Linked DNA regions of Xenopus tropicalis. The protein of the gene in region 1 interacts with the protein of each later gene in a biochemical or structural test. Links are inferred from orthologs where the notes say so. Each region holds a gene or a part of one and is shown in the gene's direction. Other genes may lie near its edges.

Region 1 (6,331 bases):
ATTGAGATGAGGGCTTTTGCCATGCCACTCCAGGACATGCAGCTTTTTGCTCCTAAACCAGTTGATTGTTAATTTGGTCTTGTGTTTAGGATCATTGTCCTGCTGAAGCAGGCCTGGATTTGTGGAAAGGCCACAAAGGCCTAGGGCGGCACAAATTTGGGGCCACACCAAAATGTTACATTTTATCCCTAGTACAGGCAATGGGGACCTCTCCGTCACTGCTCCGTATCAGAGTGTAAAGTCCTGCACATGCGCGATCGCGAGTTCGGAGGGGGGGGGGTGCGCGCCTATCGTGCGTTTGCTCATGCACGGGGGGAGGGGGCGCTGTGCTGAGGGATATACATTTCAGTGCAATCTGGCGCTGTGCTGAAGGATATACATTTGTCCAACCTTCAGTTTTTTACTAGACTAAACTATGTTCTCTTGCTGTATTCTATTGTGCTTTGCACCATTCTTCCTTATTTGACATGGTGGCTATCCCTTGCTAATGTATTAGAGTTACATGAAACATATTGCATTGAACTTTGGCAAAAAGTTATATCCTGGCCTCATCTCACCACAAATGCCTTTCCTACATTGCAGCTGGGTAACTCTCATTCCTTTTGGCAAGAGATTTACTTTCACATTGTTGTTTGGATCAGTGGCTTGTTTATGCCACAGGCCAGTTTTATGCAGCGCTATTGATATAATTAGCCAAGCTTTACAGTAAAGTTTGGTAGTTAGTTGAATCATGCTATGTGGCTGTATTTCATCAAAAATCTCAAACACCATGCCAAAATAACATAGGAGTGGCTTAATAACAAAAAGGCAACCATCCTACATTGTCCCAGTCAAAGCACTGATCAAACAAAAATATCTGTGACATTCTTTAAAATTAAAGTTGCATAAATGTCATTAGACTAACCCTACCCTACCCTGGAGCAAATCTGCCTAGTAGAATGTACCACAGTTATTACAGAAAAATTGTCAAACTGGTATCTACTTAACCCAAGAAACTAGTATTGATACAAATTATTGAAGTGTGGGGATTGAGGTTTTAAGTAGTGCAAAATTCTAAATTTGAAGAAGCAGGAAATCTAGCTTTTTGTTACACATAAATTATACATTTTATGAAACATGTATTATGTTAGACAGCACAGGAAAGAATTTGTAGAAGTTCAAGCCATAAAAAGGCTATTTTTGTAAGCCATAATCTATGTCACTGCAGCCTATGCAGTGAAAACAAGAATGCTCCCAGGTCCAGCAAGGCTACATATTGAAAGGCCAATACTTTACCCCAAAGTAAAGGTAGGGCATGAGAAGCAAAAATAGCACAAGCTCATAAAAAAAGAAAATTAATTAGTCTGAAGACACATGGAGCTACTAGTAGCAGCTACTTTTTCATTGCTACTAAACCCCAGCAAATACCCTGCCCAAGACAATACTGAGAATTGCCTCTGCTAAAACACACATTGCGACAATTATCAGTAAATAATCAGCATTGTCTATTTTAGTAGCCACCACAAGTAGCTGTTACTAGTAGCTCCATGTGTCTTCACCCTATGTCCAGTAGCTGTCTCCTGCACATACCTACTGGCAGCAGCTGGAAGGAAGTACACATTTACTAAACTTTCAAAGGAACCGAAAAGGAGGAATATAAAGCTAAAAACAGAACATATGATTGTTGACAAAACTATGACAAATACAGTACCAACCAAGCAGTACAATAGGCAACCCCAAATAAATGTATATATTCCTGGTAGTTGTTGTTCTCCATCTATGAGCCCTGTGCCTAAACCATTTGATGTTTCAATGTGAGCACAAGGTGCTGCGCCCAGCTTTCAAGACTTCGATGTGACGGCCAATCCCAGCCACTGTACAGGCGCCAGGAAACATATATTCGAGCAATTCTCTTCTCATCCCTCTGTGAAGCAATCGCACACCGCTCAAAGCTTTAGACGCAAACGTCTGTAGAGCAGCAATGCGGTATTTCTTCCTGCGTCTGTCACCGCTGGAGATTCCGCAGCGCCCAGAGATCTTTCTCTTCAGATCTTAGAACGGTTGGCGTCTGTCTGGTCCCTGGGGAAGTGCTTGGCTAAGGTGCAGACACAGTAGGCTAAATCTGCAACACTTTGCTTCTACAAGAGACGACTGCACAGCGCTGATCAGATGTAGAAGTGCAATGAAGGAGCTCCCTCTCTGGTGCTAAACACCTCTCTGCTCATGCCCATGATTCTAGCACCGGTGGTGGCGGGGTTACAATTGGGAACTCTGGAGGAGGAGGCGCCATCGACAGAAGGATTGTCAGGGGTGTGTGTGTGTGTTTAGAAGGGAGGGGGTAGAAGACCCTTATCCTCGAAGGAAAACAAATAGGAAAGAGAGGAAGAGGTCTCCTGGAAGCCTACACTTTGGATACCTGCTATGATTTGCCCTCGGTTTATCGTTTTGCTTTTTATTCTTTTGCACCCTGCCTACACCAGATCTAAATGATAGAGAAAAACACTGCGCCCTTTAGCATTACCGAAGAAGGGACTGGGGGCGTCCGTGCCCCCTCCTTGCCTTTGAGCGTGTGCTGTGTATGTGCTGCCTCCGTGCTGTGATGCCCGCTTTCCGCCTGTGAGATGAGAGCGGAGTGAGGCGGCCCCTCTCCTGGTACCTTGCAGTCACACACACAGCTATGGCTCCGTCCCCGAGGAGGCGCTGGAACTCGCCGTGCGCTCTCCCTGGTGCTGAAACCCCACAAGCTGCTGGCGCTGGTGGTGCTGAATCCGCCACCGGCGTCTCACCTAAACCTGCCATTCAGATGCCAATGCTGCCTCCGCAATGCCTGCTGCTGGTATTGGGTTTGGGATTGGGACCTGGTTTCGTGTATGGATCAAGGGGCACGACAATCGAACAGCCTGCCAATGGCACTTCGCTATCCATCATGGGCTTGATGCCCCTCAACGAGACTGTGGCAAAGGGGAATATCGGCAGAGGCGTCCTGCCCGCAGTGCAACTGGCTATCGATCAGATCCGCAATATATCCCTCCTGCACCCTTACTTCTTGGACCTAAAGCTTTATGATACAGCGGTAAGAACCCATACTAATGCACCTTCAAATGTTTATCGTAATATTGGCTACCTTAGCAGCCTAGATGTACTCTGTATACCTAAAATAGCTTTAATCTGTGTGGTAGTCAGGCATACCTAGTGATAGTGAAAGAGTTAACTATATCACCCATTGCTGCTATATTGGCTGTAAAGGCATGCACCTCCTGCAACTGATTTTGGAGCAGTTACACCAGTTACCTGAGCAGAGAGTGATGATGTGTGGAAATGTATGTTATATATGTTTGCACAACAAATATCAACATGCTTTCTCCATAGCATATGAAAAAGTGGGTGTCAGCGCAGGGATGAGGAGAATGCAGAGTTGCCGCACGGCTCCTCCATGATGCTGCATAGGTGCATGATTACCTCCCTGCTATGTTTTTACTGTGACTATACATACATATATGCATATATGGATCTTATTTTCAATAAAATGTTATCCAAACCTCTCCTTCATCACATAAGCTGTATTTACCTTATTGACTCATACGTGTACTTTGATTTTTGGAATTTCATTTCAAGTCCATCCCTCCCCCTCAGTCGATTTAGCAACAGATGCACATCATATTTAGAATTTTTTGCAAACAACGTTAAGTATGTACTGTAAATGAAAAATAAATGGGAAATGCTGGGATATAATTGGGTATGAGATGAAATGCTGAGGCTGATAATGGTTCTTGCTGTCCTTTGCAGCCTATTTAATGCGCACAAGGAACTATGTCCTTTTAGCTGTATTTAGCAGTTGAATACTAATCAGTATTGCCTAGACTACCACAGTTATCTCTTACAGTAACTGACATTTCTTGAGTAAATGGCCATTTCCATTGTTACCTTTAGGTGAGTACAGTAGGGCTAGTTGGGGAATCCTTATTTATTCTAAAATGGGTAATGTTATTTATTTATGATTTGATACAAGACATACAATACAAAACTATAAAACACTTAACATATATGTTTTGCACCAAAGCAAACTGTACAGTCCAATGATTTTCCAAAATATACAAGTAACAGTGTGCCTTAGGACTGTTCCATCATGTAATTAACAGTATTTAATTTAAGCAATAATCACTTACATTGCTTTATTACAAATAGATGTGGCTCTCTTTGTTATTATCTATTATAACATAAGTGCTGGAAACTGAACACAGTTAGTACAGCAATTAATTCCTTGCGCCCCCACCCCCTTTTTTTCCAACAGAATTTAGTCACAGTAGTAGTCAATATTTTTTAGCACTCTGCTGTAGACTGAGCAAATGCCTGAAGATGGCAGTCATTTCTTGTTGAGCAGCTCAGGCCATTTCCAAGGCAACCCTTGGAACAAAGCAGTTTGGAGCTGTTCAGCTACATCTACCCCCATGCAATTAGCAATACATACATTTCCAGGTACCTGAACCTGCCAGAAACATGGCTGAGTCATGTAGTTAAAATAGCTGCAAAATAAATACTAATTATAAAAATAATAATTATAATGGCCACAAAATGATGTATAGCATAATTAATTCATAAATCATTTTTACATTTTTTGGTACTGCTGTCCATAGAGTTTTTATTCTTTGTTTTCATATGTGGCAAGCAGGTATCCCTTCTGTTGATCCTGTCAGATTTTTATGCACATTTTTAAAAAATTTGTCATTCAGATATACAGCTGTTCATTGCCATAGATAGAATGATGCACACAATTTGTGTACAGTCACCCATTTTAAACAGCATGCCACTTGCCCAGTAAGTGTGGAGGTTATATGTTATGTTATAAGTAGATGTTTTTAAAGCCTTTCACAATGTAAAGCCCTCCTCACTTTGGGCTGTATATATATATATATATATATAATGTGCTTTTTTTTGCATTAGCGGCCTGGCAATTATGTGGGGTGTATTCTATATATGCACATATACATTATATCATCTGCAACTATACCAAAATATTTAGATTTGGGTAAAACAACTTTACAATAATAACAATATAACACTTACATGAACAATTAGCTTTTATTAGATATTAAACAGTGTCAAATTCATTTTATTTTTCAGTTGGTAGGCTTTTTACTTTCTAATTATCTAATAATATCTAAAATATTCAAAATACCCTTATTATCCTTACTCATTAAAGCTCTTGCTTTCTTTTCACATACATATAAAAAAAAATCAAGAAAGTCCATTAGCTGCCAATGATTAATTTCTATTTGTATAATATTAGATTTAATAAAGGGGCTTTTTGTGATCCATGTTGTGCCATAGGGGTCTTAAAAGTAGAAATAACATTTTTTGTTAAATCAGAATGTTTTCTTACTTTTCATCTCCAAATTTAGTAATAATAGTTGTATGTATTAGATACATAGTGCCTAATTCGGTAAGAATCAGTGTTTTTATTTTTAAATAACAATATTATTGGCCCCTAAATAATGAAATTCCACCAGTCAGTATAAATAATGTATTAAGTCAGTGATGCCATGTTTTATTTTAAGCTGTATTCATGCCTGTAATCATTTTTAATACAGATACAATCTAAAATTACCCATGTATACAGTGCATTATGGAAAACAATGCATTGTTGCTACATAAAATCCTCCATGATGATGGAAATCCATTGAAAGTGTCAGAGGAGCCCTATAAGCTTCTGTCTGTAGTCTCTTCAGACTATTAAACTGACCAGATACATCCGTGGACATCAGTTGACTCATGCTGCCCTAACTACTTTCATTTTAATTTTACTGATTTTTATGTCATGTGACCAGTGGTAGAAAATATTAGGGGCCTTGGGCTATAATCAGGGGTTTAGAGCAAGCCATAAGGTTACTGACCATAATTCTTGATTTGTCATGTATGGGGCAAATAGAGCAGCTTTGGTTCATTCAACCAGGTTTCTTGGTTATTATGTGTGGCCAGTGGAAGCTAAGACACAGAGATATGGTGAATAATTAAGAAAATCTGCCAAAAGCATAACATGCAATTATATAAAAGGTTACATTAACCAATTTTTTTAATCTGGGGTGGTAAAGATTTGGGCCAACAAGTTCCTACGTGGAATACTGAATAGGGTTTTAGCTCCTCGTAACATTCCACAGATGTACATGTATTCAAGAAGAACCTTCAGTCACAAGAGGAGCATGACAGTGGTACATATTGATTGCGAAAACAGCTTTAATATTTAAACATGCGTGTTGCCTCTTTTAGTTTCTCAGTAGTTTCAAAACAATTGATATATCACATCTTTAGATGCCATGTCATTTCCTGCTGTCTCTTCTTGAAAATCGTTCATACA
Region 2 (6,111 bases), on another chromosome or scaffold:
TACAGTGATTCATAGATTGTACTATATGACAGTATGCGTGCAAACTATATGTCCCACCAACCCTTGTTTTAATTCCCAGTTGGCCCCAAGTACCTATTTACATGCCTTTTTGTCTTGTACAATGATTACCTTATACTGGGACAAGATTGTTCCCTTCCTACAATCCCAGGTTGCATCAAGTCACTGATAATATACAGTATCTGCTGAGACACATTGACAATTTAATTCCTTGTCAATAAACCAACATTTTTTTTACCTCACACCCTATAATTTTGAAAAAAGCTTGTGAATGACATTCTTCCCATGTTTAAATTTGACCTATCAGAGCCGAGGCTGCCCCACCAAATGTAATAAAATATAGGACGCATGGACTTCCTGCCAGGAAACTACCGCTGATGAGTACTCCAACTGCAAATAACTTGAACTTTATTCTACAAGAGACTTCATTACTGGTAGTTTCTCCCTTTATCCCCCCATCCCTCTCCCCTCTGCCCCATCCTTGGGGTATCTATTTACTGAAAATGAAAAAATAAAGCCTTTAAAAAAAAAAATAATAATAATATGGAATCAGAAATATTTATAAATAAATGTAATTATAAACCAAACCATAATTCGGAAGTATATAAAACAGCGGTTAAACAAGTTATTTGAAAAGTTTAATATCATATAATATCAGTGGTTAGCATTGCTGGTTTGCAGGTTCTACATTTCACTTCCTACCAGGTAACACTGGAACTTTTTATTAATAGGGGAAAACAGAGGTTGCCACAGGTGCCAGAGGGAAGTTTCACAGATCTCTATTTGCTTGTATGGTCAGGTTAGTAGGGGCATATTTCTCAATGGGTGGAAGTGAGAATTTACAGATATGCCCTAACAACCTATACAAGTGAACAGAGAGTTGTTTGATTTATTTGATAAATATTCCTCTATATACACGAAGTTTGCAAGTTCTTCCCATGCTTGTATCAGTTTCTTCTGGGTATTCTAGTTAATATTGGCCATAATATTGGCCATAGTCAGTGTTGGACTGGCCCACCAGGATACCAGGAAAACTCCCAGTGGGCCCAGGTATCAGTGAGCCCTTTTGCTTCTAACTATTTAGCCTATTTCATAGTCATTCCTTATTTCTGTATGGTGACAAGGAAGCTTGCAAGATGGAAGAATAGAGTATAGTATGTAGAGAAAAAAGAGTAGGATAATAAAGAGTTTGAGGGAGGAGAGGAAGAATAAAAGTTCTGAGAGTGGGCCCACGGTCCAGGGTTTTATGGTGGGCCCCTGCCACTTCAGTCCAACACTGGCCATAGTGTGTGTATGAGAATGTGACAAAACCTTAGCCTGTAAATTCCTCTTTACCTGAAAAAGTTACCCTTTTACCCTATGTATCTGAATGAAAAGACATACACAAATAATGTATGTTATGATGATATTATAGCATATTTTACTTTTTTTTTTTGGAAGAACAAAATAAGAGAAAAAGAAAAATAATGTGTTCTCATACTAATATGGACATTTTAGACTGTAATGCTAACATAATGCATATATATATACAATATATATATATATAGTCAGCTATCTTTTATTAACATCTTTTTACAGCTGTTATGGGCAGTGCTCAGTATATTCTGTATTCAGCCATGCTGCATAAACCCTATTATTTGTAGATAAGAATGCAGTCATAAACCTTAAAGGATTTACTTACTGCTGACTTAATATATAACTAAATAAGATGAGGTTCAGCTTTTATCACTTAGCTATCGGAACAATTCTTTTTAAAACTATATTTCTATACTATTCTTTTTCTGCTGCTACTTAATGTGTGTGTCATATTTGTTGGCAATGTATTTTTTGTGCCTGCTATACAAAGGAAGGTATCAGATATACTATAGAGCTCTTTAGAGACTTGGACTGTGCCTTTATTCCATGAATGTCAGTCTCACATGTTATAATTACCCTTTCCAGCAAACATATTCTTACAAGACTGTGCATTAAGATAGATGAGTGGAAGCTGCTGACTACTTGACTGAATGAATGCTAATGTTACTTTTTATGCCTTGAAATAATAACTGTTTATGAGAAGGAAGAAGCAAGTTGCAGAGCTGTGCAGGTTTTATTTGAGTGGATAACAGCAGGGATCCAGCTGCAAAGCTTGCAAATACAGTACTGCACACATCCCCTTTTTGTATGTGTATGTGATCAGCTGTCTCTGGGCTTTCTCTCTTCGTTCCCCTCCTCCCTCCCACGCCTCTAGTGTACATTTCCACATAAAAACACAGACCCTGCCATCTCTCTCAATCAGAAACACAAGGAGAAGCGGAGGAAGGAAGCAGACTAGTCGGCTCTTCTGTGTATCTTGGCTGCACATGCACAGCCCTAGCTGAAACTGTGCTTTGCTCGAGAACAGGTTTTTATGCTTCTTTTTTTTCCAAGTGTTTTTACCCTTTTCATTTTTTTTGTTTTAGAAGGGGTATATTAATATTTTCCTTCTCCTAGTCTTCATGGCTTTACCTGATACTGCACGTGGATTACCAAATGGTGGAGGTGGCGGTGGAGGTTGTACAGAAAACAAAACTTCTGATCCTCTGTTCCCAGAGATTGTGGAACTAAATGTTGGGGGACAAGTTTATGTGACCCGTCACACTACTCTTGTATCAGTACCTGATTCCCTGCTATGGCGAATGTTTTCTCAGCAGAAACCAGGAGAACTGGCCCGGGACAGTAAAGGCCGTTTTTTCTTAGACCGGGATGGTTTCTTATTTCGTTATGTGCTGGATTACCTACGAGACCTGCAGCTGGTCCTACCTGACTACTTTCCTGAGAGAAGCCGTTTACAGAGAGAAGCAGAGCACTTTCAGCTACCTGAACTGGTGAAGCGTTTAAATCCTCTGCGAGTCAGTAAAGAGAGCTCTATTGGGGGTGAAGAACCACCTTTACTTCTAACCCCTGCAGCTATACACGATCCTGACTCAGACACAGCTGTTATCCCTGCCTCAACATCTCCAGCAGCTGGGGTTCCATCCCCAACATTAGATCCATATCGATTCAATGCCTCCTCGTCCTGCAGCCCAGCCTCAGTTCCACGCCTCACACCTTCTCAGTCTTTGGAAGGAAGAAGAAATGGGTACATAACAGTTGGCTATAGGGGGTCTTATACTATAGGACGGGAGGCTCAAGCAGATGCCAAGTTTCGGAGGGTAGCTCGCATCACAGTCTGTGGCAAAACTTCCTTGGCCAAGGAAGTTTTTGGAGAGACATTAAATGAGAGTCGAGATCCTGATAGGCCACCTGAGAGGTACACTTCCAGGTATTACCTCAAGTTCAACTTCCTGGAACAAGCCTTTGACAAGCTGTCTGAAGCTGGCTTCCACATGGTGGCATGTAGTTCCACTGGAACATGTGCCTTTGCCAGCAATGACCAGAGTGAGGATAAAGTCTGGACAAGCTACACCGAGTATGTCTTCTGCAGGGACTAAAACATTGTCATAGACTGAGAAATGGAAAGAAAAAGTGTCACACCTATTTAATCTCCTGATCCCAAAAAGAAGGTATTTCTTCCTCATATAAAGACAACAGCAAAAGTGAACTGCAATATTGTCATTTTTAATTCCTACATGTAGGTTTCTTATGAACAGAGAGAACATTTGGTAACTGTATAATGCAACAGATTGCAACAGCTCTGGCTTAGGTATGTTTCTAATACTCTGTGTTATACCACCCCTGCTATAGAACTTTGCCATTCCTTTATTAATGTTGTTTACCTGCTACTAAACAGCTTTTACCAACTTCCTTTTAGTAATGGACTGTGCATTCGACGCCAAATAACCCATGTGATCAGATTATTTTTCAGTTATGGGAAGTATACAAAAAATGCTACTGCTTAACATCATTTAAAATGTTTTTGACTGATATGCAGAAACACATATTTCTTTACCAATATACCCTCAAGCATAAATATATATACTTTACTGTAGGTACAAATTAAAATGAGAAGGGTAAAAGAACATTTCAGGTTATCTTTGTATCCCCTGTTATGCTCAGTCTCTTTTAAAATGTACTTTTTATTTGATACTATTCAAGGCAAATCAGCTAGCAAGATGATCTTTATGTTATATGGTCATTTTAACAGTGGTTTCTGCTTCTTACAGAAAGGAAATTAATTAAATCTTAATTCAAGCTTTTTATTCTTCCTAAAGAACAAAAACATTTTTACGGCTTCTGTTTGGCAAGACACTGCCTTCCTTTCATTTTAATGTTTTGGTTGTGGTTCATTATGATGAATTCATACATCAGCATATTTTTGAGAGCCCCACAGATGAGAACTGTGCAACCACAGAGTTCATTGGAAGTGCTGTAAATAGGCTTGATGTGTATCATGCCGAGTGTATAATGTGGAGCTGGTTAGAGCTGGCTCCTGTTTCAATAATAGATAATAACATATTTCCTCTTCTACTGCATTTTTTATGCTCTATTCATCTGAAAGTAATTAGAACATAATTAAAAAGGGTAAGGGAAATTGTGGAGAACACCATCCAGCAATACTATTTGCATAAACCCCCCAAAAACAAATAGCACTATGATAATATGGTGAAATATACCAAACTAGATATTTCTCTCTGATGAACAAAATGCTATTTTTTTGCATTAGCTTTGCCATGGTTAAGGTCCTAAGGGAACCTGGTAACAGCAGGAAGCCAATGTTGTCCTGTCACAATATATTGCCATATAGTGTGTGTGTGACTTCTCCTGATTTACAATACTCTTTTCATACAGTATGACAGGAGACTAGTCACAATTAATAAGAGATGTGGGAAATATTAATAGCATTAGACAGAAGATTGATTTTCTTTAAATGTGTATTTATTTGACCTTAACTGAAATGACCTACTGTTTGAGTAGAATGTATGCCCAGGAGCAGCACAGTTAACATCTCTAATGCTCACATGACATCTGTAACGTACAAGCTGTATCTCTAGTTTAATGCCTAAAGCCAGGCCTTGGTTACACTTTGTCATAAGCACTGAAATAATCAATAGTCTGTGTTGTCTGAAAACAAATAGAGTTTGTAAACATTCATTGTCATCATTCACCAGTATCCTATATTTCCTGGCACATAAACATTAAATAAAGAGAGCTAAAACCCCTTTTTTAATGATTAAGACAATTCAGGCAATTGTGGCTTTACCAAAGACTGCTTTAGCATGGAGATAATGAAAGTCTATTTTTCTTGCAATAAAAGAGTACTCTGTCCAGATATGTTTGCCTCAGACATGTTGTCCACCCTATACTTTATTAGTTGAGGTAACTGCATTGAAAAGCTGATGTCTTTTTATCATCCTATATAACCTTGTTTTATGTTATTGTTGTTGTTATGTGATCTCTCTTTTCTTCTCACAAGAATCTGAATCTGAAGACAGCAAAAAATATTTTTATTTTCTTTTTTCTATCATATTAAACTGTTCATAGAAGCAATAAGAAAATAGCAAACATCTTCAGCAACAGAAGTCCAGATAAACAAAACTTAACCAGTTGTTTTTGTAGCCTTTGTACACTAAGCAATGTGTTCTTTTGGAAGAGGGTGAGGATTTCATGATAATAGAACTGTTGCATTTATATGTTTGCACTATATACAATGTATATCATATTCTGCAGCCATTTCATTAAACTTATCCTTAAAAAAACAACCAAACTTGGAAATCATAAGTTATGTTTACCCATTGCTTTAACTTATTGATTGTCAGACCTTATGATGGCTGTTGCCATTGTTTCCTGCTTCAGTATAATGTTTTGTATGTCTCTGCATTTGTTTCATTTATATAAGAATGTTATTATCAACTATAGTGCAACACTTTGCTTAGTCTGTTCACTGCTAGCTTATGGACTCCGGGTGTGTGTAGTATTGGAATGGACAACCTAGCTAATATAATTATTTTTCATTGTTTTATTATAACATGGATCTTCAACATGTTGGGGAATTCTGTGAGCTGGACAATAGAAGATAGAGAGCTGCAGGTTGAAGATTCCTGTTCCGTAATGTAATTATCTGGTTCTATTGATTGCAATACGCCCAGAATGGAAATGGAACTAGCCATTATCAGGGGTTATGAATTTAACCCA

What was found. The genes of interacting proteins can lie anywhere in the genome.
Region 2: the proteins of gabbr2 (region 1) and kctd12 form a complex in vitro, tested with the Homo sapiens proteins (2 studies listed by BioGRID). The link is inferred for Xenopus tropicalis from reciprocal best matches to the Homo sapiens genes GABBR2 and KCTD12.

Annotation. Positions count from the first base shown.
Region 1 is NC_030682.2:77,689,599-77,695,929, reverse strand, and holds the start of gabbr2 (gamma-aminobutyric acid type B receptor subunit 2), read left to right. Parts: upstream 1-2,350; 5' UTR 2,351-2,656; coding exon 2,657-3,052; intron 3,053-6,331. UniProt on the Homo sapiens protein: Component of a heterodimeric G-protein coupled receptor for GABA, formed by GABBR1 and GABBR2. Within the heterodimeric GABA receptor, only GABBR1 seems to bind agonists, while GABBR2 mediates coupling to G proteins.
Region 2 is NC_030678.2:126,319,042-126,325,152, forward strand, and holds kctd12 (BTB/POZ domain-containing protein KCTD12), read left to right. Parts: upstream 1-2,304; 5' UTR 2,305-2,495; coding exon 2,496-3,470; 3' UTR 3,471-5,675; downstream 5,676-6,111. UniProt on the Homo sapiens protein: Auxiliary subunit of GABA-B receptors that determine the pharmacology and kinetics of the receptor response. Increases agonist potency and markedly alter the G-protein signaling of the receptors by accelerating onset and promoting desensitization.